Macaca fascicularis: one gene and its partners. The protein of the gene in region 4 interacts with the protein of the main gene of each other region in a biochemical or structural test. Links are inferred from orthologs where the notes say so. Each region holds a gene or a part of one and is shown on either strand. Other genes may lie near its edges. The genes, in order: HLTF, UBE2A, PCNA and RAD18.

Region 1 (8,227 bases), about 95 Mb from region 4:
GAGTGAGACAGTCTCAAAAAAAAAATTTTTTTTTGAGACAATTGTGAAAATTTGATTATGAACTAGTTATTAGAAGATACTAAGAAGTGATTTATTATTAATTTTGCCACGTCCGTAGTTTTTAGAGAAATTAGTGAAGGCCATTATCGGCAGGGTGGGTTGGGAAGTGACCCGAGAAATGAAGCTACTGTGGGAGGAAGAGCCACATGTGCCATTCTTGGATTTCAGGCTCACAGAATCAAACAGGGGAGTGACATGACATGATTAATTTGCATAAAGGTTCTGTGTGTGTGTGTGTGTGTGTGTGTGTGTGTGTGTGTGTGTGGCAGGGGGGTGCAGATGAGAAGTGTGTTTGTGACTGGGAAGTGGCTGACTGGAGAAATTTTGGATTCCTTTCCTTTCCATACCATTCCTACCCAAATTTATCAGTAAACCTTTTGGTTCTCTTGGCTTCATCACTTTCCCTTTCCAAGCCACCACTATCTCTTATCTGAACACAATAATTTCCTATCAGTTGCTTCTATTCTTGTTTCCTGTAATTCTCCACAGGGCTGCCAGCATTTTTAAAAGCCTAAATCAAGTCATCCTCCTGCTTGAAACATTCAATGGCTTTCCATTGCAGTTAAAACACAGTCTTTACTGGAGACTCTTAAGTTCCTGTGTAATCTGGACCTTATCTTCCCCACCATCCTTTTAGTGCCACTTTCCTCCTTACTTACTGGCCAAACCCCACAAGCCACCCTACAGTTCATTTTCCAGTTACAAGTGTTCATTTTTCATATGTACATGTGATGCTGTTATTAGAATAAATCAAGAAAAAACCAAAAAAGTTAATTTTTCAGAAAACATTATCTAGTATAATAGTTCTGAAATTGTAATTGCTGTAACATTTTAATCAAACTAGTACAAATTGTACTTGATCTTTGAAAATAAAACAAAGAATGATTAAGGGAAAGAATGTTCTACTCCTGGTTCTGAGATGTGAAATACTGATAACATAGAGAAAACTGTTGACTTTAAATAGCAAATTTTAGTTCATTTAAAGCACATTCTTTAACCATGGGACAGTCATTATTGATAGATCTTAAGTCTTTTTATTTTTTTGAGACAGAGTCTCACTCTGTTGCTCAGGCTGGAGTGTGGTGGCTTGATCTCGACTCACTACAACCTCTGTCTCCTTGGTTCAAGCGATTTTCCTGCCTCAGCCTCCCACGTAGCTGGGACTACAAGCGTGCGCCACCACCTCTGGCTAATTTTTGTATTTTCTTAGTAGAGTCGGGCCTTCACCATGTTGGCCAGGCTGGTCTCGAACTTCTGACCTCAGGTGATCCACCCAACTCGGCCTCCCAAAGTGCTGGGATTACAGGTGTGAGCCATTGCGCCTGGCCAGTCTTAAGTCTGAAAGAGCTACGTTCTCACATTTGGAATTTTTTCTTTGTCTAGTAAGCCTGACTTTCTTACTCTTACACACAAAACATCAATTTGAGCAATATCTGGCATATTTTCCAAGAATTTATTTAAAATCTGGCATACCAAATGCTGAACTGTATTGCCATTTGCCTCAACACACTTCAAGAAGAACATAAAACAATTAAAATAATTTGAAATGCCATTGTCTTTATCTTCTTCATCAACTTTGGTCAAATGAAATAATATATTGCTTCAAATTCTATTACTCATCGAAGGTTCATGATTACAGATGACTACAGTTTATTTACGATAATGAACAAATGTCTCTCTTGAAAAGCTGACTACCGGCCTGGCACGGCGGCTAACGCCTGAAATCCCAGCACTTTTGAGAGGCCGAGGCGGGCAGATCACCTGAGGTCAGGAGTTCAAGACAGCCTGGACAACATGGTGAAATCCCATCTCTACTAAAAACACAAAAATTAGCTGGGCGTGGTGGCGGGCGCTTGTAATCTCGGCTGCTCGAGAGGCTGAGGCAGGAGAATCGCTTGAACCCGGGAGGTGGAGGCTGCAGTGAGCCAAGATCGCACCATTGCACTCCCGCCTGGGGGACAGAGCGAGACTCCGTCTCAATAAAAAAGAGAAAAAACAGAAAAAGAAAAAAGAAAAGAAAAGCTGACCACCTAGTATTATTGTGTTGACGGGCGTGTAATGTGGACCTCTCTGTGACGGGCAAGTATTCTCTGGCAGTTACACGGCACCGCCTGTGCAGATCGGCGCCATCACCGGCTTCCCGCCCTGTGCGATTAAAAGGCCACCTTCGGGGACAGCAGCCTCCTCTCCATCCCCAACGCGCAGGGACCAGCCCTGATAGGCGTGGGCTGCAGCTGGTCCAAGGCTGACGGTCCCAGGGCTGCATTCTCCTTCCAGTCACCTCAGACTCTGGAAAGCGAGCCGTGGAGGGCCTCAGAGCGCCCCTCTGCAGTTCCTTGGGGAAAACAAGGGTCTCCCCAGCTGGGCTGGAGCAGCCACGTGCCCACTGGGAAAAGGGTCCTGTCCACCATTTCCGGCAAACGCCCCCATAGCTGTGATAAACATGTGATGGCTTTCCTGTACCAAGAAAGGAAAATTTTCCTTAAAAATAACGAAAAGAGGTGGGGAGGGGACTCTAAGTTCCATTTAAGATTTTCCAAACTCGTTGTGTCTCATCCATACGCTGAGGCTTAGCATGAAAATTTGGAGCGAAAGTCCCCAGGGTTCACCACAGGGAATGAAACAAAGTATCTCGCCGGTAGCTCCAGGTCTCGTAAACCGTGGAGCTCCTTCAGTATAACGCCCTATTACGTGCCACATTAGATGAGGAGGAAATAAGAGGAAGGATACGGTAGAGGCTTTAGAATGGGGTTGAGTCTTAGGACTTGTGGGGTAAAGGAAAGTCGTTTCCCTCCGTTTAAGGCAGGGAATCAAACAAAACGCCGGCACCGCAGGCACCGCAGTCGCACTCCTGGGGCCTCGTGGCTTTCCCGCGCGCCCGCCTTGGGGGCGGGGAAGAACCCGGATGGAACCACCCTTGCAGCCGGGACCCCCCGCAGTCTTTGAATGGCAGCGGGGCGGAGTTGCCCTCCCTTCTGTGCTCTGATTGGTTTGGCTCCGCACTCTTCTCTTCGTGATTGGGCTTTCCTAGTGCCAGTCACAGAGCGACGCTGGTCTCCCAGATTGTTGCTAGAAGGAGACAGCGTCGACGTCTGACTAGACTCGCAGCGACTTATCTTTCAGTCGTACGCTCCTTATCCGGCGCTCGGAATTTGTTCCCGGCTTCAGGGCTGCGGGACCTGGAACGAGGCGTATCGAGGCGGCTCGAGAACGATCCAGGGGAGCCGAGGCGCTCCTCTTGTCATCCCACTCAGCGCCATGTCCTGGATGTTCAAGAGGTGAAGGGGGCGGAGGGGGTGGGGCGCTGGGGCTAAGGGCCTGGAGGCGTCCCCAAATGAACCTGACCTTCCCCGCGTTCCTCCACGTTCCCCGGGCGATTTGTGCAGCTGTATTCGTTCTGTTGGTCGCATATGTGGCCGCGGGAGAAATAAATGCATTGTCTTGGCTGGCGAGTAGGGGCTATTAGGGCGAGTCTCGTGTTAGGGACTTGGGAAATCTCTGTCACCGACTGTGGGGGGCCTGGGGCTTAAAGCCTCTCGGCCCATGCGTTATTCAACAAAACATCCATTAGATACCCACTGTGCGGCAGGCATTATGCTCGGTGGAGGGCCGAGTAAGCCAGCCGTTGTCCCCAAGTGGCTCACAGCTTATGTGTATGCACAGACGTGCAGATACGTATTTGCAGAGGAGCTAATAGAGAGAATGCGCCACTTGCAAGGAAAACGCAGCGCAAATAAGCGACTGTTCTTAGGAGAATGGAAACTTTCTGCAATGCTCCAGTAGACTTCCCCTCACTTTTCATTGTCCAAATTGGTTTTTATGGTCATTCCCGAAACAGTTACACGTAACGGGTTTGGGGTAATGCTTAAACCAGCGACGGGAGGCGGGTACGGGTGGCTTGGGGCCAATTTCCCACGGTGGCGTGGCTTAGATACCAGAATAAAGTAAGTGTTCTGCTCGGAGGGAGTTACAGTGATGGATGCTGGATGTATTTTCTGGAAAATTATAAACAACTTCGTATACAATAGTAGTTGTATTTTTGTAAGTCTTTTGTAGCTGAATCCCTATTGAAATTTTGGCATATAATTTTATTTTTTTAATAATTTATATTTTTGAGATGGAGTCTCGCTCTCTCGTCCAGGCTGGAGTGCAGTGGCACAATCTTGGCTCACTGCACCCTCCGCCTCCCGGGTTCAAGAGATTCTCCAGCCTCCCGAGTAGCTGGGATTACAGATGTGCGCCACCACGCCCGGCTAATTTTTGTATTTGTAGTAGAGACAGGGTTTCACCATGTTGGCCAGGTTGGTCTCAAATTCCTGACCTCAGGTGATCCACCTGCCTCTGCCTCCCACAGTGCTGGGATTCCAGGCGTGAGCTACCACATCTGGCCCATAATTGTATTTACAGACATCATATACATTTCAGTTTAGATGATTTTCACTAGGAAAGATATTAGTGAGCTCTGACTAGGCTTTTCATTTTGAATTCCTAGGGGGCAGGTAGAAGAGCCAATATTGAAAACAGGTAAAGTTCCCGGGAAGCCTTCTCCACTCACTGCAATTCCTGCTTTAACGAGAGTAACTAACTATTAATCTTTACTGTGATTCCCATGTAAGATTTCATTTGCTGAAGTAAAGCATGAGAAAACCACTCATATGGTCTTTGGAAGTACTTAAATACTGTTTTTCTTTGCCTTTAAAAAAAAAATAGGGATCCTGTTTGGAAGTACTTGCAGATTGTGCAGTATGGAGTTCATGGAAATTTTCCACGCCTCTCATATCCAACTTTCTTTCCACGTTTTGAGTTCCAAGATGTTATCCCTCCAGATGACTTCCTAACTAGTGATGAAGAACTAGATTCCGTTTTATTTGGAAGTTTGAGAGGTCATGTGGTTGGACTACGCTATTACACGGGAGTAGTGAGTATAATAGTAGATAACTAAATTAAATTTTGATTATATTTGTGGCGTTAATCTAGAAAATAAGAGAATTAGCAGGTGATGTGTACGGTTCATCTTTATTTTACTTTAAGTTAATGAAATATTTGTACCCCAAAAATAAAAAATACCTCAAGTGACCCTCCCACCTCAGCCTCCCAGAGTGTTGGGATTACAGGAGTGAGCCACTATGCTTGGTCTCAGTGCGTTATGTTTAGTTATTATGGGTAACACCCCGCCCCCACACCCCAGTGCCTTGTTCATGTCATCGATTTGTTGCAAAAAGGAGGTAGTTTTGTGAAATCTTCTGGATTTTATTCTTTCATTTCTCCGTATGTTTCTTACTTTTAAGCTTCTTAAATCTTTTTTATTTTTGGGTGTCTGAAGCATGTTCAGCAGGAGATTCCTTGGGAGTTTCATGTTCTGGATTTGTTTTTCTCCTATATTTCCTTTACATTGGAACTTTACAAGTTGTTTTTTGATTGTCTGAAATGTGTTGTCTAGGAGATTCCTTAGGGAGAAACAGTATTTCCTAAGTTTTTGTCATAATTGTGGCATTTTATGAATGACAGTTTCATAAAATGAAAGTTGTGAAGGACTTAATGACAGTTGGGCTGAATTTAAAATCTTTGTAATATATAGTTTCTCTCCATATCCTAATGTTGTATAGAATTTTCAGGCCAGTGTGATTTTCTCTTTCACTTAAGAGAATTGGATTTTTTTTTTTTCCCTTTTTTTTTTGAGACCAAGTTTCGTTTTGTTGCCCAGGCTGGAGTGCAGTGGCCTGATCTGGCCTCACGGCAATCTCTGCCTCTCAGACTCAAGCAATTCTCCCACTTCAGCCTCCCGAGTAGCTGGGACTGCAGGTGTTTGCCACCATACCCAGCTAGTTTTTGTATTTTTTTTTGTATTTTTTTGTAGGTTTTGGTATGTTGTCCAGGCTGATCTGGAACTCCTGGGCTCAAGTGATCCGCCCACCTTGGCCTCCCCACGCGCTGAGATTCTGTGCCCAGCCTCTAGTTTTTTCTAATAGATTCTTGAAATCTATCAGTTCTTATTTCGTATCTATGTATTCTCTAGCTCTCATATGCATTTCTGAGCTTTTCTGTTTCAGATTTGTGCTAATTTTTCAAAACTTACATTGTTTTCAATAATTATTTTATACCACCATGAAATACTAGATTATGGTAGTTATTGATCTTAGAACAATCAGTATTTTGGATCTGAGAATAATCTCTGTGACCTCGGTAAGCTAGTGTGTGTTGAAAAAATGTAATCATCAGTTTTCTTCTTTTGCCAAATATATATATTTTAAATTTTATTTTTTCCAGGAACACTGTGTTGAGATATCATTTATTTTATAGTTAATACATGTTCTTTTTTTTTTTTTTCCTGAGACAGAATCTTGCTTGTGTTGCCCAGGCTGGAGTGTAGTGGTGCAGTCTTGGCTCACTGCAACCTCTGCCTCTCAGGTTCAAGCGGTTCTTCTGCAACAGCCTCCTAAGTAGCTGGGATTACAGGCATGCGCCATCACGCCCAGCTAACTTTTTGTATTTAGGAGAGATGAGGTTTTGCCATGTTGGTCAGGCTGGTCTTGAACTCCTGACCTCAGGTGATCCACTCACCTTGGCCTTCCAAAGTGCTGGGATTACAGGCATGAGCCATCGCGCCCAGCCGTGTTCATTATTTTTAAATGGCTAAAAAAGCATTAAATCTTCTAAAGTGTATCATTCAGAACCGTAACTTATCTTCTACACTTGTGTTGAGTATATGCATGTAAATTGGAATCATATTACATATTAATAAAAATAAGATCATATTATCCCTAATGTGATTAGGAATATCATCTATATTGGACTTATAATTTCCTTATTGATGGACATTTTTGAGTTAATCACTATTATAAAAAAGTAATAAAAATTGAGGTACTATCTTTGCATACTTGTTATTTTAAGTTTTGTCTTCTTTATTGAGATGTGGTTTACATATGATAAAATGTACATATTTTAAGTGTATGATCCTAGTGTTTTGACAAAGATGTATACCTGATAACTATTACCCCAATCAAGATACAGATTGTATCCATCTCCCTGAAAGTATCTTGTATCCTATTACAATCATTTTTCCCTGCTCCTGCCCTAGGCAACTGCAAGTCTGATTTCTATCGCTATAGATAAGTTTTGCCTATTCTAGAACTTCACGTACATTGAATTATACAATATGTACTATTTTAAGTCTGGCATTTTTCACTCAGCGTAATTTAAGTACTTCTTTGGTCAATTTTGGTTATTTATATTTTTGAAGAAAAGCATCCATTTTATTTAGATAGTGGAACTTATTCCCATAGAATTGTGCATAGTAATCATGTATCCTTATAAAATTGTAACTCAGATTTTCTGGAATTGGGATTTGGTGGTGTGACAAACTTGTGATGCTCACAAGTGACCAGAACTCCTATTCCTGAAGGATTTTGAGATCAAGGAACACGTATTTAAACTCCCGTTTATGCCTTGGTTCTAGTTCCTCTTTCCGAGTTGAATAACCATTTTTTTGGTGGTTTTAAGTTGGTGCTCTGAACCTTAATTTCAGTACTCTTAACAATGAATTGTCAAATTTTGATAAAATGTGCCATTTTTTAAATGTCTGCCAGAACACAATTTTATATGCCTTATTGGCTCCATTAAACTTTTTAAAAACTTTAAAAAAAAGGTGGTTGTGTTCCTGTTTTTATTCTTTGCATTATACATTTGTGTCTTTTTTATTGATTAACTGTGACATCATTTCAAGACAGCCTCTTGTAGATTTTTCTTAATGATTATGTTTCTTGGCTTAATAATTACTCTCTTACATTCGGTTTTTCTACTTAGGTTCATTTTCTTTTTTTTTTCTGTTGGACTTGCAATTTGAACCTTAATTTGAGTCATTTAATCTTTTAATCTTTAAACGTGTAAGTATTGCATTGCCTTTAGGCACCAAGATTTGTTATATAGTATCATTCTTTATTTTTAACTCTGGTGTTTTTTTATTCTTATTTTTATTTTTTCTTTGTTTTGTTGTTTTTTTTTTTTAAGTGTGTTTTCAATAAGTGTATGGTTAAATTTTTTATTTTTTGACCCATCAATGGCTTTATTTTATAATAAGGTGATTTATTTCTTTTTCTATTTTAAAATACAGTTATGTGTTGGTTAACAATGAAGATACTTTCTGAGAAATGTGTTAGATGATTTCTTT
Region 2 (7,463 bases), on a different chromosome or scaffold from region 4:
ATTGAAAAGTTCAAACCTGACTGCCATTTGAAAAAGGGACCGTGCAAATTTGTTTTCATTAACTTTGTTATCAATACATGTAGCCTGTGGTGTTTAAAGGGAAAAAGAGGCAATTAGCATAAAATGTTCAAATGAATGGTTTGTGGTGCCTTTGACCATGCATATGTTGTTTTTGGGAGGTCAGCTTGTTGGCTCTGTTGTAAGGTTTTAAACGGATTATCCTATGAAAGAGATTGGGTATAGTGTTTCTCAGGAGGTGTACAAAAGAAAAAAGTTATTAAACCTGACCATTCTGAGTCTCGCCTTACATTTTTTCAGGTATGATTAACAGTGTCAATATTTAAAGCACTCAGCCACATAGCAGGATGAAAAAGTTAATGCAAAACTAATCCACCAAATAGAAAAATTTAATGTGGTTCTACTTTGAAGCAGAAATGGACTTGAGGGAAAATATTAAGCAAATTGAAGGACATTGCTCCTAGGTGAAACAATCCAAGTAATGTGGTAATTAGTGCAGATTGTACTTCTCCATACTGAGGCTTCAAGTACCATGTCTTAAAAGATGAATGGGATACATGCATCCTAAGGACTTAACTTCATTTAGCACCATCCACCCAACCAAACAAGTACGAAGAGGTGGTAGTTTTTACAGTCATTGTCCTTGCCTCTTTAAAATGAGATGGGTTGCTCCTCAGAAGAAAGCAGAGTTTTGTTTAATCAAAGTGATTGAGGATATCTGTACTCCCAAATTTTACATAGGATTTAAAATACCATCTAGACTGGGCGCGGTGGCTCACACTTGTAATCCCAGCACTTTGGGAGGCTGAGGCAGGTGGATCATGAGGTCAGGAGTTCAAGACCAGCCTGGCCAACACAGTGAAACCCCATCTCTACTAAAAATACAAAAATCAGCTGGGCGTGGTGGCGGGCACCTGTAATCCCAGCTACTCGGGAGGCTGAGGCAGGAGAATCACTTGAACCCCGGAGGCAGAGGTGGCAGTGAGCCAAAATTGCACCACTGTACTCCAGTCTGGACGACAGAGCTAGATTCCATCTCAAAAAAAAAAAAATCTAGTAGTTTGGTACTGTTTTTTTTGAGCTAGGGCTTTTAAAGAGGTGGAATGTCAGGATCAACAAGTTAGATCTTGGTCTCTGAGGGTGCGTCTCGTTCTGTCACCAGGCTGGAGTGCAGTAGCACAATCTTGCCTCACTGCAACCTCCGCCTCCCGGGTTCAAGCGATTCTCCTGCCCTCAGCCTCCCAAGCAGCTGGGACTACAGGGGCGTGCCACCACGCCTGGCTAATTTTTTTGTATTTTTAGTAGAGACAGGGTTTCACCGTGTTAGCCAGGATGGTCTTGATCTTCTGACCTCGTGATCTGCCCGCCTCGGCCTCCCAAAGTGTTGGGATTACCGGCATGAACCACTGCGCCCAGCTCTGTATTGTTAATGTTTAAAAAGCATTACCACTTATGACTGGAAAGAAAAAAAAAGGTTCTCTCCAGAAGTATCTGTCTTTTCTTTTCCATTCCCAGAATGAGTATTTTTGCTTTTACCTTAATGTTTGAGGGGGGAAATGAGTAGATATGAGATCCCAATAAGAAACCAATACAAAAAGTTTATACTGAGCTAAAAAAACCAAACCAAAACAAACAAACCAGAAAAAAACAATGATACCTTGACTATGAAATTTTAAGGTTATTTTTATTTACAACTTTGAAAAATGTACATTTTTTTTACATGGGTTACTTGTGCAAAGTTAGATTTGGAAGTGATAAATGCATAAAAGGTGACAATAGAACATTAGACAAAACATTTACAAGCCTTGTCCCATACTGCTACTTAAAGGTACTATATATCTAAAAGTATAAATATCGAAAAACAGATTGCAGACGTTGGCTTTAAGGTTCTCAGATGCTGAAAGGGAAGAAATTAAAGCATGCAGCAATAACTCAGGATTTGAGTGGAAAACAGTTGGCCACAGATATGCTGTGTTCCCTTCCTTGAATTCATTAAAACTCTAAAATAAAGATGGACAATTGAGTTTATTCATCTAGGGCAGCACTGATCCTTTAAAAAGATTAAAGTATCTCCAACTTTCCCTAGCTCAAAAACTCATGCATGTTTCCATTCCTCTGCTCCCACACCTCTTTTAAAAAGCAAAAACCCAGAAGACCAATATTCTGAAACTTAGCATGAGTGTGCCCTGTCAGTAGCTTGCAAAGAGAGGATGTGTCAGTTACTACAATTGCTGTACTCCTTTAGCTGAGTCCTTCAACATTCTCCTTGCCAGTAAATACTATCTTGTAATTCATATGACTGAGATCTTAGTATCACAGGATTTTTAGCTCCCATTCCTCTTTCAAAATTGTTTACATGGATTTGTTTCTATTCTCTGTAGGCCATATTCCAAACACATTCACTTCTAAATCCAACACAAGTGAAGGACCAGCCAGGATGAAACACTCAGCAATCATTTCATTAAAAATAACATCCTGGTCATCAAGCTAAGCATAAGCACCTCTTGTATAACAATTCATCTTAAAAGCTTAAAGTACAGTAATAAAAATAACTGCTTGAAAACTGGAAATGAAATACAACAGAAAAACTGAAGCATTAGTAATTTTTGCAAGTAACCCAGGTACAGTACATTTGATTTCATAGAGGGTGTTTTCTGATGTTTAAGGAGAGGGTAGAAGGGGTAGGAAAACTTGGCAAGGAAGATGGAAACAGCACAACAGCTATTTTGCTTTTAATAAAGTAAATGTAATGACAGGAGTAGGGAGTGACAAACACATCAATATATATTTTTCTTATGGCCAGCTTCTTCTTTAAACTGTACCCGGGGTCAACAATCACGCCAGCTTTGTTCTACTATTGCAGAAACACGCTTTTCATATTCCCGTTTGTTCTCCTGGTACAGCTGAGCAGCCTGGCTGTTTGCTGGACTATTGGGATTGGGTTCATCCAATAGAGACTAAAGAGACAATTTTTAAAATGTCAGTTACTTAATGCAAAACAGCTATTTTATAAGGTAGTGACACTCAATTGAATTGTCCTAAGTACAGCTACATTTCTTTTTTTTTTTTTTTTTTTTTTTTTTTGAGACGGAGTCTTGCTCTGTCACCCAGGCTGGAGTGCAGTGGCCGGATCTCAGCTCATTGCAAGCTCCGCCTCCCGGGTTTATGCCATTCTCCTGCCTCAGCCTCCCGAGTAGCTGGGACTACAGGCGCCCACCACCGCGCCCGGCTAATTTTTTGTATTTTTTAGTAGAGACGGGGTTTCACCGTATTAGCCAGGATGGTCTCGATCTCCTGACCTCGTGATCCGCCCGTCTCGGCCTCCCAAAGTGCTGGGATTACAGGCTTGAGCCACCGCGCCCGGCCACATTTCTTGTCTTTAGCACGCAAACCCAGAGTTACATGAATCTGCTAGTAGCTAGGAAAACACATGTGGCTTGGGTCTTTTTTTTTTTTTTTTTTTTTTAAAAGAGAGATGGGGTCTCACTATGTTGCCCAGGCTGGTCTCAAACTCCTGAGCTCAAGCAATCCTCCCACCTTGGCCTGCCTAAGTGCTGAGGTTACAGGTGTGAGCGACTGCACCCAGCTGACTTGGGTCTTAATGGTCTACTTTTCATCTATAAAACAAACAAGCTTTGACCAAAAATAAAAAGGTCTATTACATTATGACTTTCAAAAACAATTCAATTGCTAATATAAACATATTAAAAGTTATAGTTCGTCACATTAAGGAAAAATTCACCTGTATGGATGTTAGAATGGAAGACACATCATAGGTTGGACTCCAACGGTTCTGAAGTATGTCCAGACATATACTACCATCTGCATAGACTAAGAACAAAGAAGTAGGTACATTAAACGTAACAAGACCACTAAGGTTTTAACATTATAGACAAAACAAAAATAGTCAAGAATACTTTGCTTTTGAAGTTTTAAAAAGATTCCTAGGTTGCTTCCCAGTTAACTGCCTAAAAAGATGAGTCATAACCACCACTAGTGAAATAATCAGGATGATCAGAGAATGTCAGATGTGATCAGCATAAAACTGGAAGATACTTAGTGTTCATCCTTTGGAAAAGACTGCCCTATTATCCAGGAAATCAAACATTTTTGAACAGGGTCCCTAGCTATCCCCAGACATGTGGGAAATTCATTCCACCAAATTTGTAGGCTGTATCGCCTATCTGAAATAACAAAAGATCGCTCAGAGTTCACAAGATTTCATTTTGACAAAAAGATAAAAATATCTGATACCCTGAAAAATACTTCATTAACCTAAATAAAAGGCAAGCTGTTCTAGGCTTACTACTATTTTAAAAAGTGCAAAGCGGTAAGTTAGAATCACCTGTGGTGCTTTTCTGACATACCGTATGCCTGGCCCTCAACAACAGAATCCTATTCAGTAGGTTTGGAGTGAGGCGAAGGCATCTGCATTTTTAAAATGTTCCACAGTAATTCTGATATGCATCCAATGAAAACTACTTTTCTAAACGCTAATGAAAATAATTACAACACAAGACTATCCCAATCTGGCCTAGCATTAAAAGGAAACCTCAAGAGCATCCTTCGTTTTGTTTAATAAGTAAATGACAAAGATCATCAAAATCAGGAGGCTCCCAGACTCCAAGCAAAGGGAAAATAACTCCACTGCTTCAGTTCTAGGACAAGACAGCCACAGAAAACCAAGAACAAGTTCAGCTTTCAGGAAGCAGCAAGCTGCCTAAACAAATACTCAGGCACCACAAAATACACAGGAAATGTGGAATACTCCATAATAAACACTATAGTAGTTTAAAACACTGTACTAAAAGTGATACTTGCCATTTGGATGGAACATCTTAGAGACAAATCTAACTGTAGGTGGTTTATTTGGATATTCTTCAGTGAATTCTATTGTAAGTTTAAATGTTCCTGTAGTTAGAAAAGAAAGATTTAAGAAAATGTATTTATCACTTTGTTCAGTTGTACTTTGTTTTTAATGCTATGTGGGTTTTTCCAAGTATTAAATAATGCAAAGATACAGGGTAGAGAGGAGAGGCCAGGTAAGAAATACATCTCTAGGAATTGCTCTAAGAACTACTCAAATGTGATTTTTTGTTTTGCCATTATTTTCCCCCAAACTTGAAGACAGCCATCATAAACACAAAATTACTGCATACAAGATAACTTTAGCCACTGTACATTTTGAAAACATCCTTAAAATAAGAAACTGGGCCCAAAATTTGGCCTTCCTCCTTTAGAAGACCAAAAGACCTCAAAGGCCTATTTTAGTCAGCTGCCATCTTCAACTATCCAGTGATTTTTAAACAGACTGGAAAGAATGAAGGCACAAAGGTTCAAAAACCAATGCCAGAATACAAATCCATAATCAAGCTATTTTTAAAATAGAAGAGAGTAAGTATAAAAGTGTTCACTCTGGTTCCTTTTCATGTCATAGTGATCCTATAATGAAAACTTAATTGAATTTAAGCCAGGAAAAACTTCATAGTCCTTCTCAGAAACCCTTAAGTATGGCTCATAAGGTACTTCACTATAAAATCAACTCAATTATTCACACATATGGAAGGAATTAATGGCAGAAATAATTTTAAAATCATATTTTGTTTAAATTGCATTCACGTTTCCAGCAAATTTATTTTTCTAATGTTTGTTTACACTACTATGGAAATGAAATTATTTTTCTTAAATATATGTCAACCTAAGGTAGCAGGAGGCCCTAAAGCATAGTAGGTTATAAACTTACTTACAAGGCATGGACAAACTGGATCTCATTCAAGAATTTTAAGATGTGATCTGAGGAGATTATGTCCTTTAAAATATTATTTTCAGGCCGGGCGCGGTGGCTCAAGCCTGTAATCCCAGCACTTTGGGAGGCCGAGACGGGCGGATCACGAGGTCAGGAGATCGAGACCATCCTGGCGAACACGGTGAAACCCCGTCTCTACTAAAAAAATACAAAAAACTAGCCGGGCGAGGTGGCGGGCGCCTGTAGTCCCAGCTACACAGGAGGCTGAGGCAGGAGAATGGCGTAAACCCGGGAGGCGGAGCTTGCAGTGAGCTGAGATCCGGCCACTGCGCTCCAGCCCCGGCCACAGAGCGAGACTCCGTCTCAAAAAAAAAAAAAAAAAAAAAAAATATATATATATATATATATATTATTTTCAATTGTTTGTTGAATAAATTCAAGAAAACAATTGAGCAATGTTTTTTCCTGACTGAAATCTGTTCAAGTAAACTTAAAAGAATCAGTTACTATATGGTATAAGGTGATGCATGTTCCACTGTATTACTCTGGTCCATTTAACAAATTATTCTAAAACAACAGACCACACTTCGGTGTATTTCTTACTGGTTCCTTCAGAGTTAGCAATTTATTTCCTTTTTGTTCTCATTAAAAGGTTTATCACTGCTTAAGAAAAAGAGAGAAGACTATAATCATTCTAGGACTAGATCCGTGACAAAGCAATATCAAAAAGTTTGTTTTTAGCAAGCTCATTGGAAACGATTTGCTAACAAAGCTGCCCTTAGTATGAACAAGTGTCTCAAAGCTTCATAGTAATATAAAATGCAACATATAGAGACATTATATTCCTCAAACTATTGTTACTCCCTATTTTCTTTTCAAAGCCAGACCTGAAGATACTATGTATTATAACTAAGGAAAGAAAGTAAAATCTTATGGAATGGACAAACATATGCCCTTTAGAAGTATGGAAGTATGTCCATCAGAATATACTTCACCTTTATCACCACCTGGTCATAAATCGTCCTCTTTCTGAGGAAGAAAGCACAGTTCTTCCTTTTCAGTATTTATTGACATTATAATATGCAAGAAAAAGCGGGAACGTGTTAGAGTTCCAAACTTTGAGTTTCCTTATGTATTATGATCTCAAGTGTAAACACACTTGGATCGATGTTGCAATCTGACCAAATTATGAGTAAGAGACGCTGCTCTAAAACTGGGAAGATGTAATAGCACATGGACATCCCAGCTACTTTAAAGCCATCACTAAATATGATATCTAAAGGTAGTAAAGCAAGACACAGGGAAGCCATAAGCAAAAACAGTACAACATACTGGCTAAGAGCGTGAGCTCTGCAGTCAGACAGGTCTGGGCCCAAGTCCTTGCTTTGGTACTTACTAGCTGTGAGACTTCGGGGAAGGTGTGCTCCTTGACTAAACCTTAAGTTCCTCATTTGTAAAATGAGATTAATAATAGTACCCACCACACAGCATTGTTGTGAGGTTTAAATGAGAGAAATATGCATAGTGCCACAAAGTTAAGTGCTCCAAAACCATGAGCAACTATTTTTGCTATAATAATTCTAAAGTTTCACATCTCTAGACTCAGCTGAAAGAGGCAAAACCCAAAAATCAGAACTTAACTATCAGTAAGAAATATACAATGAAGGCATTCAGATATTAAACAGTACTTTTAGGTCTA
Region 3 (6,755 bases), on a different chromosome or scaffold from region 4:
CCTTGCCAGAGAGATAAATAAGAACCGACGAGAATTTAGACGTAAAACAAACTGTGCCAGGGAGGACGAATGCCCCACACGGATGACTCGGAGCTTGATTTAGGCGGGAAGCGCGGTCTCGGACACGCCCAGAGCCCAAGAGGACGGTTCTGTCCCCGCGCCGTCGCACACACGCCTTACCGGAGCGCCGCGCCAGGCCGCCCGCACACCCAGAGCTCGCCCACGGTTGGCAGCGCACGAGGTCGCATGGTACGGCCCGCTTAAGGGCCACTCAGCCCACCCCAGCCGGGATCAGTGCGCCGGAAGTGGCGTGCCGGAAACAGGCGCGTCGGAAGTTGCGTCTCCGGAAGCGTTTGTTTCCTCAACCAGCTTCCCAGGCTATCACTTACCGAGTATCAGCTGCAGGAGGCATCGGGGCTGCACGGGCCGAATGCCGATTCGTGGGTTTTGTTTAGGCAGCCACGACCTGTGCCCGCCGCCGGCTACCTCCACTGTGGCGGGCGAGCACCTAGGGTCCTCGCCCACCTGGGTCACCGTCAGGCCCAGGGCAAGCCAGCTACGTGGTTTCTCCCTTCCTTAGAACGGGCCAGGCTAGAGAGCGCCATGGCTTCCCAGGGAGGCAGAAGCCGAGTCCGTCGCAGCCTCAGGACCAGAAGTCAGTGCGGCCAGATATCCGCTGCAAGGCGCCAGCCTTCCACGGGCGCTCGCCTTCAACACCCCACTACCACACTTCCCTTGAATAGCACACTTGTAAACTGTGCTGTCAATACCCCACTATACTTCCCTTGAATAGCTCCACAAACTTGTGCTTATTTTCAGGCCTTGTCCAGGTAAAAGGCCTGCCCACAAGGGACATTTTGCTGCACATGAAGCTTTTCAGAAAGTTGTTTATTAAGGTATAATTTATACACAAGTACAAATAGATGAGCTCTGAAAATACGTATGGTCCTAGAACCATCACCAATCTAGATGGAAATACATCCATCACCCCAAAATTCCATCAGCCTCTTTTGCAGCCTGTTTCCTTCTTCACTCAGAGGCACACTGTAGGAAAATGAATACTTACTACTGGACATGGTTAATTCTCATGTCCAGTAACTAGAACTCAGTCCAAGTAATTTAATAAAGAAACTAGTCATTTAATCTACCAAACAAAAATGTACTGGAAAAAAAGATTATGATAAAGCAATTTTAAAAAATGCTTTTTCTAAAGCCAAATTTAGCAGCGGGGGTTGTATACCTACTTCAGTGACACTAATGTAAGTTCTGATAACCTACTACTATCAAACCAGCCAAAAATATATGTATTTTTGAGATGGAGTCTCACTCTTGCCCAGGCTGGAGTGCAGTGGCATGATCGCGGCTCACTGCAACCTCCACCTCCCGGGTTTAAGCAATTCTCCTGCCTCAGCCTCCCAAGTAGCTGGGACTACAGGCATGCGCCACCATGCCTAGCTAGTTTTTTTTTTTTTTCATTTTTAGTAGAGATGGGGTTTCACCATGTTGGCCAGGCTGGTCTCAAACTCCTGACTTTAGTTGATCCGCCTGCCTCCCAAAGTGCTGGGATTACAGGTGTGAGGCACTGCACCACGCAAAAAATTAATACACAGCACAGTTATCTTACAGCTATTAATGGGAATGTTTTTAAGTCTTTCTTCGTAACTTCAGGGCTTTTTCACTTTCTTGGTTGGATCCAACATCCATGGAATTTAAGACATCTTCATCCTTTATGTGAGTGAAGTTGCAAAAAGTGTATTTATAATAGAGAAATTTTGCAGAACCATACTCCTTGGGTCCCATTACAGATCTACTGAAACATCAAAGACTCTTGTAGGACTCCCTAGGCTAAAAAGAAACACTCCATTAACATCCTTATAAAGCCAACAAGACTTTGGGTACACGAAGCTTCTGAAGAGTATTAACTTTTGCCAAGTAAAATGAAATACACAGGATTTGTACTACTCTCACTTGTTCCTCGTCCTCAAATTGGAATAACAAGTTTGACAAGCGAATCCCCCTAAAATATCTAGTAACCTACTGTATTTGAAATCCTTTTGATCTACATCAGGCTGCTCTAAACTGAAAAACCATTTACATGAAAGGGTAGCTGTAGCTGGGAATTCAGTAGGATACTTCCAACAGTCCTGGTCAAAATGAAGGCACTGCCCTGTGATGTTTGAAATTCAAGTAACTTTATTTAAATTCAAAAACAATTCTAAAACTGCATTTAGAGTCAAGACCCTCTTGTATTATAAAAATCACATGTATTTCGAAGAGACAAAAATACTTCTAGGTTAACTAGACCAGATCTGACTTTGGACTTTATTCTTTAAACAAATTGCAGAGAATAGAGAAAAAAATAGGTTATTTACAGAAAACAATATCTACATATGTACTTAAAAGTACAAATTTGGTGACAGAAAAGACTTCAGTATATGCTGGCATCTCAGAAGCAGTTCTCAAAGAGCTTAGTTTTATTTTCTTGAATTTTAAGAATGCCTAAGATCCTTCTTCATCCTCGATCTTGGGAGCCAAGTAGTACTTCAAATGTCCCATATCAGCAATTTTATACTCTACAACTGAAAGACCGGAAGATAGTTAATTACTGAGGAGTATCACATATACTACCTACAAAACAAGGTTCAAATTTATTATCTTACCAAGGGGTACATCTGCAGACATACTGAGTGTCACCGTTGAAGAGAGTGGAGTGGCTTTTGTAAAGAAGTTCAGGTACCTCAGTGCAAAAGTTAGTTGAACTGGTTCATTCATCTCTATGGTAACCTACAAGAGAAAACAGAAGATTCATCATTGAAAAACATCAAGAAAGTTGCAATCTATTAGCTTGCATTTATAAAAACCCACAAACACTTTTATTAGTCACTTTGGAGGGAGCTATGAAAATTTTGAAGACTGATGCGTAAAGCAAAAGAATTGAGTATCTAGCTCGTCTTTCCTATAATTTAGATAACCAAATTATATAATATGGGAAAGCTTTTCTTTATGGAAATTCTTCTGATAAGCAGCTAATAAATGAATAAAACGTATTAATTTCAGCTCTGCAAACTCTAATGACTTAATGGATCTAGACAATGACTATTATAGCTGCTAACACTGCGAAGACGTCCAGACCCCTTGTGCCTTCTACTAGAGGCACACACCACCACCTATAAAGTATTCGTGCTCTCTCACCCCCGGCCGAAACAAAACATCCTGAATATCATCAAGGCTCCAGGGCTATAGCTACCAGTCTGTAGGACACAGGGTGGAAGAATTTACGTATACACAGGAATGCAATCAGCAAAATCCAAACTCTGGAAAACTTAACAAATCATCTAATTTCTTCAACAAATAGACTGTAATGGAAGGGGAATAATGAAATTAGAGGAAACCAGGCTAGGTGTGTTGGCACACACCTGTAGTCCCAGCTACTAGGGAAACCAAGGCAGGAGGATCAACTTAAGCCCTGGAGTTTGAGGCTGTAGTGAGCCATGACTGCACCACTGCACTCCAGCCTGGATGGACAGAGCAAGACCCTGTCTCAAAAACAAAGAAAAACAGAAAAAGAAAAAAATAAGGTTAGCAGAGGAGCGGAAATGTGATTCAGGAAACAGATAAAGAATCAGCTCCTAGCCTTTATTAATTAAAAAAAAACAACTTCCAACTGAATTTTACAACTTTATTTAAACTAAATGTTGACTACCCATTCAAGGGACAAGAAAGCAATATATAGTATTTATTGTAAGCTTGTAATATGCCAGACACAGCATATGCTAAGCTCTTTAATGTTACCATATTTAATCCTAACAAGCTTATGAGATTAGGACCTTCGTCCTTGATTTACCAAGTTTTAATTTATGCTCAGGTTACCGAGTTTTTTTTTTTTTTTTTTTTTTTTTTTTTTAAGATGGAGTCTTGCTCTGTCACCCAGGCTGGAGGGGAGTGGCATGATCTGGGCTCACTGCAACCTCCACTTCCTCAGTTCAAGTCATTCTCCTGTCTCAGCCTTCCGAGTAGCTGGGGTTACAGGTGTGCACCACCATGCCCGGCTAATTTTTTCTATTTTGGTTAAGCAAGGGCTCTCTAAGTACTCTCAAAGTTGCACGGAGTCTGCTTTCTAGCCTTAGTGAGAAGTCTTCCTGTTTAACCTTTGATTCCTACAGCCTGTGACTTTGGCTAAATTGTCACTTAAGATTGCTCAGCCTGCTTCTCCACCTTTAAAATGGGCTACCAATTGGACCCACAACATGTACGCTAATATAAGGATTACATAAGTGCTCCTAACAGGTAGACTTTTACTCCTAACCATACCCTTCTATAGAGTTGCTGTTCTATGCTTATTTGGTAAGAGTAAGTATCTCCAGAAAGCTAAAGGTTAGATGCCTAGCTTCCCAATCCTACCCTTAAGAGCCTGTGTGGGCTTGATCCATAAACCATTGTTCTGTGGTATGTACACGTGCTGAATTTGTATTCCCTTCTTGCAAATATAATTCTAAATTGGATGACACTTACAAATCAGTTGCAGATTTCAACAGTATCTCAATTTTCAGAAATTACTTGGGATCCAATTCTGTCTACTTTTAATTTTAGCAATTAACCTAATAAGCAGTATTACAATTCTCTTCAAACTATTTTTTTTACTTAAAAACTACTTACAGCTTCCTCCTCTTTATCGACATTACTTGTCTGTGACAATTTAATGTTTCCATTTCCAAGTTCTCCACTTGCAGAAAATTTCACGCCGTCTTTTGCACAGGAAATTACAACAGCATCTCCAATATGGCTGAGATCTCGGCATATACGTGCAAATTCACCAGAAGGCATCTTTACTACACAGCTGTACTCTTGTTCCTATTAAGAACAAAAATTTTCCAAAAGTTAATTGTTAGAAATTTAATGATTTGGCACCCTCACTTTCTTAAAAGGCAACATCTAAACAACTCAGAATCAAGATTTTCTGATTACTGACTCGTGTAATTTCTTAACAAACTCCACTCAAAAAAAATAAATGGCTATTAAATGCACTGCCCAGGGAACAAGCGCCTCCTCCTCCTCATCCTCCAGGGATAAAGTAAGAGAACATTAGAGTATGCCACAGAAATGATGACGGCGCAAGCAGGTCTAACTATTTTCTAAAAGAAAACGAGAGAATATGATATTAGGCATTTTCAACATTCCAACATTTCTTCTCTCCTTTGGTGTTTATAAACCTAACCTGGATACATTTCTTCTAAGATAGCTTTCAAACCCACTTAATAAAAACCAAGCATCGGGCCGGGCGCGGTGGCTCAAGCCTGTAATCCCAGCACTTTGGAAGGCCGAGACAGGCGGATCACAAGGTCAGGAGATCGAGACCATCCTGGCTAACCTGGTGAAACCCCGTCTCTACTAAAAAATACAAAAAAAAAAAAAAAAAAAAAAACTAGCCGGGCGAGGTGGTGGGCGCCTGTAGTCCCAGCTACTCGGGAAGCTGAGGCAGGAGAATGGCGTAAACCTGGGTGGCGGAGCTTGCAGTGAGCTGAGATCTGGCCACAGCACTCCAGCCTGGGCGACAGAGCGATACTCCGCCTCAAAAACAAAACAAAACAAAACAAAACCAACCATCCTAGAAGGAAGCAAATTTTAAAAGAGGTTCATGGAAATTAATGCAAATAGACAACTGGCAGTAAACAATAAATTTAACCAGTGAGTTTTAGACTTGTGGTAAACAACTATCCAAATACTAAAATCTCTTTAAAACATGCACCAGTAGATATGTTTCTAGAAAAAGTTCTGTTATGAAGTAGGCTTAAATTATATTAACTTATCTTGACGGAGGAGGATCATTGAGGCCAGGAGTTCCAGACCAGCCTGGGCAAGACTGCCCCCACACCCACACACAAAAATAAAAAAATTAGCCAGGCGTGGTGGGACAGATCTGTAGTCCTTCCTAGCCACTTAGGAGACTAAGTGGATTGCTTGAGCCCAGGAGTCCCAGGTTACAGTGAGCTATATGGCACCACTGCACTCCAGCCTGGGGAAAAGAGGAAGACCCTGTCTGTAAAAATAAACAACATTCTATGACATAACTATCATGCCTGTGTACAGCAGTCGCTACAATCAGAAACTGATACTCACTGGAATTCCAAGTTGTTCAACATCCAAATCCATCAACTTCATTTCATAGTCTGAAACTTTCTCCTGGTCTACCAAAAAAAAGCAAATGCTGTTGAGAAACACTGGCACAGAGTTTCGATCTTCTGTAGCTTCATAACTCAGTAAAAAGGTACGACTTACTGGGTGCTTCAAATACTAGCGCCAAGGTATCCGCATTATCTTCAGCCCTTAGTGTAATGATATCTTCATTGCCGGCGCATTTTAGTATTTTGGACATACTAGAAGACAGGAGACACATGGTTTAAAATCAACACCATCTACTGAAGGTCTGTATTTCTAATGCAGTTAGAAGGGGTTACCACTCTCACCCATAGGCCGTCTCAGAACTGGTGGAGGGTAATTGCACTGCTGGAGGATGCGAATATTAATGCAGACATTTTGGGATGCATCTGGCAGTATTTATACTAAAATACCACCAGCAGTTTCCCTTCTGGATAGAAACAATCTCCTGCCACTAAGTAGGATGACAGGCTGACACTTTTCTCGCAAGGGCACATTATAAAGCATTTAAAGTCAATCGCGACTGAGCCGGGAGGATCGCCTGAGCCCAGAAGTTGGAGACCAGCCCGGGCCAACACATCGAGACCGTCTCGGAAACA
Region 4 (7,463 bases):
ATGGTTCTGTCTAAAAATTTTACAGGATTTATGACATTACTTTGGACTGTGGCCTAAGTGTTTAACATTGCTAGATAAGTAAACTGCAACCTCAGCTGCATGGTTCAGAATCACAAATACATGCCCTAAAGTCCATGCAGTAATGATGACTGGCTGCTCTTTATTGAACAAATTGATACATTAATAATGGTGATCTTGAGGTCAGGGTTAATTATATTCAAAGATGTTAAAATGGTAGTAAATAAAGATTCGAGTTAGTATAGTATCCTAAGATAAGGTAGAATTGGTTGGGAGAGGTCTTAGAATCTTAAAGGGGCTCGCTCTACTGGGAAACAGGCCAGAAATGTGAAGAAAAAAAAGAGCTGGAGTGGATATCCTTTGTTATTATGATTCAACTTTCCTAGAGGCTTCTATTTTAGATCCAGTGAATACTCTTAGTACTCTTGTATCTTGGAAGTTAGAATGGTATCATTTGTATATATTTAAGAAAGCGTGCATCTTTCTTGCTCTTATGATTATGTAAAAGCCTCTCTAGAGAATGGAGTTTGGGAAGAAACCTAGAGTAGCAAACTAGGAATATCATGTTTCCATATTTGTATTTGAGGAAGAGAGAAGATAAAAAGAATCTTCCATGACACTGCAGCCCTTTGTATTCTTATGCTTGGTAGCTTTTAAATTTATTGCAAGTGATTCCTATGGATGCTGTTCTTGAGCAGTCTGGTACACCTCTTTTTTTTTTTTCGAGACAGAGTCTTGCTCTGTTGCCCAGTCTGGAGTGCGGTGGTGTGATCTCGGGTCACCACAACCCCTGCCTCCCAGGTTCAAGTGACTCTTGTGCCTCAGCCTCCTAAGTAGCTGGGATTCTAGGCACACAATACCACACCTGGCTAATTTTTTTGTATTTTTAGTAGAGATAGGGTTTCACCATGTTGGTCAGGCTGGTCTCGAGCTCCTGACAAATGGTCCACCTACTTCAGCCTCCCAAAGTGCTGGGATTACAGGCGTGTGATACCACGCTCGGCTAATTTTTTTGTATTTTTAGTAGAGATGGGGTTTCACCTTGTTGGCCACGCTGGTCTTGAACTCCTGACAAGTGATCCATTCACTTCGGGCTCCCAAAGTGCTAGGATTACAGGCGTGAGCCACCACGCCCATCCCTTGTACACCTCTTGGTATTCATTTTGTCAGTTGTAGATGGTTAACTTTCATTGTCCTAGCTTTACTGTGAAGATCTTTTGAATTTCAGGTAAGAAACATAAATGTGAATTTCAGCTTCTGGTGGATCAGGCTAGAAAAGGATACAAGAAAATTGTTGGAATGTCACAAAAAACAGTAACAATAACAAAAGAAGATGAATCTACAGAAAAGCTATCTTCTGTATGCATGGGTAAGAAACTATAATTAAAAACAGACATATGTTGAATTTCATTATTTACTTTTAATATGAAAAGAAAATTAAACCAAGGAAATTTACTTTGGAGTTCCTACTTCTTTGAAATGAGGAAAAGTATTTTTAGACAAACTTCATGTAGCAGTTTGTAAACTAGATTTATTACTGTGCGGAAAATGGTTGGAAGAATGTCCTGAAGAAACAATCTCTTTTTGTCTATCATCCTTTCAGTTAATGACAAATCATAAATTTCTTAGTTATTTAAGCTTGAGGATGTTTTCTAGGTGTAGAATTTATTGGTGGAGATCCTGAGAGATCCTGTAAGAGAGTGAATTATTTTTGTGATAGAACACTGGTGTTTACTTTGGATGAAATGTTCTGCCAAACGGTCTAAAGCTAATATACTGGTAGGCTAATACAGAGCACATTCCTTAACTTTGATCCATTTTAAAATTTGAAATTAATATTTTAATTCTATTGCCTGGGCTTTGGACCAGTGAACAAAAAAGAATCATAATGGGGGAAAGTGTGCAAGAAAATTCCTTATCATGTTTTTCTATACTGTGGCAAAATATATATAATACAATATTTATCTTTTTAACCCTTCATAAATGTATGTCATTGGCATTAAATACATTCACAATATTGTATAACTATCACCAATGTCTATATCCAAAACAATTTCATCATTCCCAGCACAAGCTCTGCACTCATGAAATAGCAACTCTTCCGTCCCCTCTGCCTCATAGCCCTGGTAATAACGGTTCCACCTTTTGTGTCTATGAGTTTGCCCATTCCAGGTACCTCATATAAATGGAATTGTATAATATTTTCTTTGTGTGTTGACTTCTTTCTCTAAGCATAATGCTTTCAGAGTCCATCAGTGTTGTAGCATATTTTAAAATTTCTTATTATGATTAAACAGTATTCTGTAGTATGTATATGCCATATTTTGTTTATCCATTTATCTGTTATGGTTATTTCCACCTTTTGGTAATTATAAATAATGCTGCTATGAGCATTGATGCTCAAATATCTAAGTTTCAGCTTAGAGTGGGATTTCTGATTCATATACTGGTTCTATGTCTAACCTTTTGAGGAATTGTTAAACTTTTCCGTAGTGGCTGCATTATCTTACATTCCCACCAGCAAAGCATAAGGGTTCCAGTTTCTTCACATCCTTATCAACGCTTGTTATTTTCTGATTTTTAAATTTTTTTAAAATTGTAGATGTGAAATGATATGTAATTGTGGTTTTGATTTGCATTTCCCTAGTGACTAATAAACAATTTGTGCATAAGGTGCTGCCTCAGTATGTAACTCATGGTCTTTGAACAAATCGAACTTGTTCATGCAATTGTGAAAGGATATTTCTAGAAACTAGTTTAGCACTTGAGAAAATCTGACTGAATATTTCCCATTAAGAAAACTTTTTTTTATTAGTTGAACCTCTCTTGAATATCATTGATGGCTTGTATGTATTTATGAACATCAGTATTACTCTTTCTGGGGTTCAAAGGTGATTGCTGCTTTTAGATTGCTGTGCATGAATGAGATGTCTGAGAGGGTAAGGAATGTGAGAGAGGTGAAGACAGACACAGACTGACTAAAAAGATGAATTTTGTATAGCATCATACAACCAATATAATTGTTGCTCTTTAGGACAAACATTGAAGTGCTCATGTAAGTGAACAAGTTGCATATTCTCTCAAGTGAAAACTTAGCCTGTTTTTGTTGTGTGTCTCTGGGGAGCTCTGATGTCTGAGCCTCACTCCTGAGGCTCTATTTTGAAGTCCTGCATTCTGAGATCTAAGGGCAGGTAGGAAGGATAACTTATTTTTTATGCCTACAGATTATTGAATGCTGTTTGTCCCCAAGAAGGAATATATTGTCTAGAAGTGTATGTAAGAGTGGAAGAAGTAAGAAAAGAATACAGACAATGTGCAAAAATAAAAGATTGTTTTCAGTTGAATTCCTGTTCCCTGGTTTGCTTTTTTGCATGCGCCTCACTAGTTGAGTAATATAGTCCCTGGGTGAACCGAGTTGACTGGGGGATTGGCTCCTCTTAATGTGATCCTGGTATCTGTTTACAAGAGGAGTTCTTAGAGGTTCAGGATGGTCATCCTGGCTAACTTCTTTTTCTCTTTTCCAGATATACTTTAGAGGGTGCTGTTTTGTTTTGCTAATGATAGTTTATTGATAGCCAGATGACATTAGGAGCATATTTTTAGGAATTATACTCTTGTGAAGTATGCTGTTCTCCCGCTATAACAAAAACTTAGAACTATTTCTGAAAAAAATTTGACTGTGTGAACTTGGCAAGGTTTTTTGAAGAATGTGTTATGTTCTTTCCCCATAAATTCTCTCTGTATAACCAAACCTTGACAATTGTATTTTTATTGTGCTTCGTTGAAGACCACTTGCCTCTACAAGTGCTTGAGGAGTGATGTGTGAAAGCTCTGTTTCTCTGTGAGGAAACACATGAAAGGAGCTCTGTACTATTATTAGCACGTGTAGCTTGCATGCGAAAGTACCTCCTCAGTTCCTGAAAGTTAAGGACAGCACAGATGAAAATCCCAGCAGAGTTTATGATGAGTAGGAGAATCCTGGGCACTAAAGAATCTTTCGCAGATATTCTTCTCGCTCATATTTGTAGAAAATTGGCCATTCCCATATGCCACATTTTTGTAAACACTGCATCCTTCCAGCTTTTTGGGGTCTTTATTTTTATCTGCAATAAGAGACCTTAAAAGCTGAGAATATGACAAAGAATGCATGGAAATGTGATGTATATTGGATCAAATGGAAATATTCCTTATGTCTGATTAGTTGTCCTTTTCCATAGAGAATAATTAGATTCTATTTAACAGGTTTAGAAAAATGTCCAGATAGATTCACTATCATATAGTAGTGACAAATATTGTGGTTGTCTTATTAGTTGAATCTGTAGTCTTTTTTTTTTTTTTGGTTATACATCTTACGTTGGTTTGTCAGTGTTCTCTGATCTATGAAATATGCAAGAATTCCTCAGTGATATGTTAATAGATGCCTCATTAGAATTACAAGATTCTTCCTGCTCCTGGTTTTAAAATAAATTTTATTTTTAAACTAATTAATCTTGGAAAAACATGGGCTGGATAGTATAATTAGGTAGCACCATTGTAGTGTTAATTCTTGCTCTCTGGCTGTCACTAGAGTTCTGGAATCAATGTGACATATTCTTCAACTTTACTAAGTGCATATGGTAGTATTAAGTGTTGCAGAAGTAATAGGCGTACAGAAGTTGTAGATTTTAACGTACTCTTAAATTTATTTTTTCCTAGGACAGGAAGATAATATGACCTCAGTAATAAACCACTTTTCTCAATCAAAGCTGGTAACAAACCACTTTTCTCAATCAAAGCTGGACTCCGCAGAGGAATTGGAACCTGACCGAGAAGAGGATTCTTCTAGCTGTACTGATATTCAAGAAGCTCTTTCTTCACCAGAATCAGATTCATGCAATAGGTAAGAAACATGCAGGAGTTGATTATTTTAAATATCTACCTCATATGCACACATAGATAGTTAGGCAGAAATAATTAGAAAGTAGCTTTGAGGCATGGTATGGTGTGTCACTCTTACATTTCAGTCCCCTTTTACTGCTGGGTCATCTTCACAGTGGTAACAAGGCAGGATTTGGGAAGGAAGTACAGGGATCAGAGGGTGAGTTTGGTATAGGCTTTATATAGCCTTTTTATAGATATAAAAAGGCTCTATAGCCTTTTTATAGATATTTTTCCTACCGTTGGAAAAGAAAGCATGATAGGCAGTGAAATTTTTGTCAAGACAATGAGTGAAGGAGATAAAAACAACTGTATTGGAAAACAGAGATGATCAGAAAGACATGGCACATAGGAGAGTTAAGAAATGAAAAATTTAACTGAGTAAATAGATGGGGAAACTTTAAAAATGAGAAGTTTGGTAATGAGTCATTTTGAAAAGATATTTTAAAAATATATAGGGTTTATTTTACACACACACATGCATGCACACATACCATTTTTTCTGGTCTTTCACTTAATATGTCATAAATGTTAACATTTCTATAGGTTGGCACAAAAGTAATTGAAACCACAGTTAATTTTGCACCAACATAATACCTTATGTTTATAATTGTTGTTTTTAAATGAGTACAGTATTTTGTTATGTCTCTGTACCATAATTTACCAGACCCTTCAGTTTCTGTTAGAGCTCTGCATTTTTTCCAGTGTTCTACTTACGTGCCTGATGCTATGGTAAAGCTCTTCCTTTGTTCCTATTGAATACTTTTTTTTTTTTTTTTTTTTCATTTTTTCGAGATGGAGTTTTGCTCTGTTGCCCAGCCTGGAGTGCAGTGGCGCAATCTCAGCTCACTGCAATCTCTACCTCCCAGGTTCAAGCATTTTTCCTGCCTCAGCTTCCCAAGTGGCTGGGATTACAGGCCTGTGCCACCTCACCTGGCTAATTTTTTTGGTATATTTAGTAGAGATGGGGTTTCACCGTGTTGGCCAGGCTGGTCTCGAACTCCTGACCTCAAGTGATCCACCCACCTCAGCCTCCCAAAGTGCTGGGATTATAGGCGTGAGCCACCATGCCTGGCCACTTTTCTTACATTTATTATTCTGATAGGTAGGCATTGCCTTCCGAATGAATTGTACTGATTTAAAAAATGCTACCAGCAGTATGTCAATATGAGTGTGTCTTGGAAGTTATTTGATCTTTGGTGTTAGTTTATTTAAAAATTAGTAACATTGCTGTAGAATGATAGACTATTTCTAATCTAACTAATGGAATTATTAGTACATTTTTTATTAGTATACCCAGTGACCCTCTGTTTTTGTAGGATACCTGGGAAACAGTTTCAAATTAGTCAGAATGAAGTATTAGGAAGGAGAAATCTTCCCATCTCATTCCAAAGATTTTCAAGATCAAAAAATTATATTTCTAGTTGACTGAGGGTAAAACATAGGGTTGCGTGATTTGTTATCGTAGATCAGGCCATTCCTGCAAGTCCAGTGCAGTATTTGTTTTTAAACACACATGTAGGAATACAGAAAAAAAAAAATCAGAGTCAGGGGAATAAGAGTTAGATTTTAACCATAGTCATTAGATGCTTGAATGTTTTGGAATGCCAGAATGATTTGGGACATTTGAGAATGGCAAAAACTGAAAGGGAAACGTGGGGCAGTCAGATGTCTTTATCTGGTTGTGAGAATATGGGAAGTGGGGCGAGTTTGTTGATGTCCTAGCCTCATTCAGACTTGTTGGCATCACTGAACTATGAGAGGACTATGGGAAAATGTCATTGCTTTTAGGTATACCATGGCCGAGGAACTAGGAGAGCAAGCAGTAGTCTCTGGGTTTAATAAAAAAGGTAAAGGAAATATGGCTGAGGGAAATATGGAGTAAACTTTATTGGGTCAATTTACTAAAATGGGTTAATCCAAAGGCTGATCATTGTAACTCATTACTCACTGAAAGAATTGAAAAGTACTTTCACACTTATCCCCAGTCACATATTGCTCCTGCTGCTACTTCATTAGGGGATTAGCCTTTTCTCATTATTTATCTTCCTACTGACCAAGATTCTGGGTAATATTATAAGTTTTACCATCTTTAATGATTTCCTCTTGATAGGAGTCACATAGGGGTATCCTTATACTACATTGTGAGGTGATCCTTTTGTTAGCAACTGAACGTAAGTACAGTGATGCTAGATTAACTTTTGTTCTCTGTCCATCACAGGGTCTGACATTACACTGTTGCACTCAGCCATTCAGCAAATATGTATTGTGTTCCAGGCACTATTCTAGACACAGCAGTTTATCAGGGATGAAACCATCAAATAATTTTTTAAAATGTAAGCACTTATATTCTACTTCACATTATAATTAGTTGGTAATATATGTACATATTTCTGCATGCACACACACGTACATGGCTCAGTGGAAGTACACACTAATTACATATTTTAACAGTTTTATTGAGATACAATTCATATACCACACAGTTAACTATTTAAGAGTACAATTCAGTGGTATTTAGTATATTC

Evidence for each region.
Region 1: the proteins of RAD18 (region 4) and HLTF form a complex in vitro, tested with the Homo sapiens proteins (2 studies listed by BioGRID). The link is inferred for Macaca fascicularis from reciprocal best matches to the Homo sapiens genes RAD18 and HLTF.
Region 2: the proteins of RAD18 (region 4) and UBE2A form a complex in vitro, tested with the Homo sapiens proteins (12 studies listed by BioGRID, with this or other methods). The link is inferred for Macaca fascicularis from reciprocal best matches to the Homo sapiens genes RAD18 and UBE2A.
Region 3: of the proteins of RAD18 (region 4) and PCNA, one has a biochemical effect on the other in vitro, tested with the Homo sapiens proteins (21 studies listed by BioGRID, with this or other methods). The link is inferred for Macaca fascicularis from reciprocal best matches to the Homo sapiens genes RAD18 and PCNA.

What each region holds. Positions count from the first base shown.
Region 1 is NC_088376.1:51,895,617-51,903,843, reverse strand, and holds the start of HLTF (helicase-like transcription factor), read left to right. Parts: upstream 1-3,120; 5' UTR 3,121-3,318; coding exon 3,319-3,338; intron 3,339-4,770; coding exon 4,771-4,978; intron 4,979-8,227. UniProt on the Homo sapiens protein: Has both helicase and E3 ubiquitin ligase activities. Possesses intrinsic ATP-dependent nucleosome-remodeling activity; This activity may be required for transcriptional activation or repression of specific target promoters.
Region 2 is NC_088395.1:125,918,946-125,926,408, reverse strand, and holds the end of UBE2A (ubiquitin-conjugating enzyme E2 A), read right to left. Parts: intron 4,930-7,463; coding exon 4,840-4,929; intron 3,850-4,839; coding exon 3,761-3,849; intron 2,976-3,760; coding exon 2,847-2,975; 3' UTR 1,684-2,846; downstream 1-1,683. UniProt on the Homo sapiens protein: E2 ubiquitin-conjugating enzyme that accepts ubiquitin from the ubiquitin-activating enzyme E1 and transfers it to a E3 ubiquitin-protein ligase. In vitro catalyzes 'Lys-11', as well as 'Lys-48'-linked polyubiquitination.
Region 3 is NC_088384.1:82,162,826-82,169,580, reverse strand, and holds the end of PCNA (proliferating cell nuclear antigen), read right to left. Parts: intron 6,375-6,755; coding exon 6,277-6,374; intron 6,186-6,276; coding exon 6,118-6,185; intron 4,852-6,117; coding exon 4,657-4,851; intron 2,785-4,656; coding exon 2,661-2,784; intron 2,580-2,660; coding exon 2,500-2,579; 3' UTR 2,176-2,499; downstream 1-2,175. Other genes in the region: TMEM230 (transmembrane protein 230), read right to left, coding at 181-248. UniProt on the Homo sapiens protein: Auxiliary protein of DNA polymerase delta and epsilon, is involved in the control of eukaryotic DNA replication by increasing the polymerase's processibility during elongation of the leading strand.
Region 4 is NC_088376.1:147,158,818-147,166,280, reverse strand, and holds part of RAD18 (E3 ubiquitin-protein ligase RAD18), read left to right. Parts: intron 1-1,246; coding exon 1,247-1,387; intron 1,388-4,713; coding exon 4,714-4,897; intron 4,898-7,463. UniProt on the Homo sapiens protein: E3 ubiquitin-protein ligase involved in postreplication repair of UV-damaged DNA. Postreplication repair functions in gap-filling of a daughter strand on replication of damaged DNA.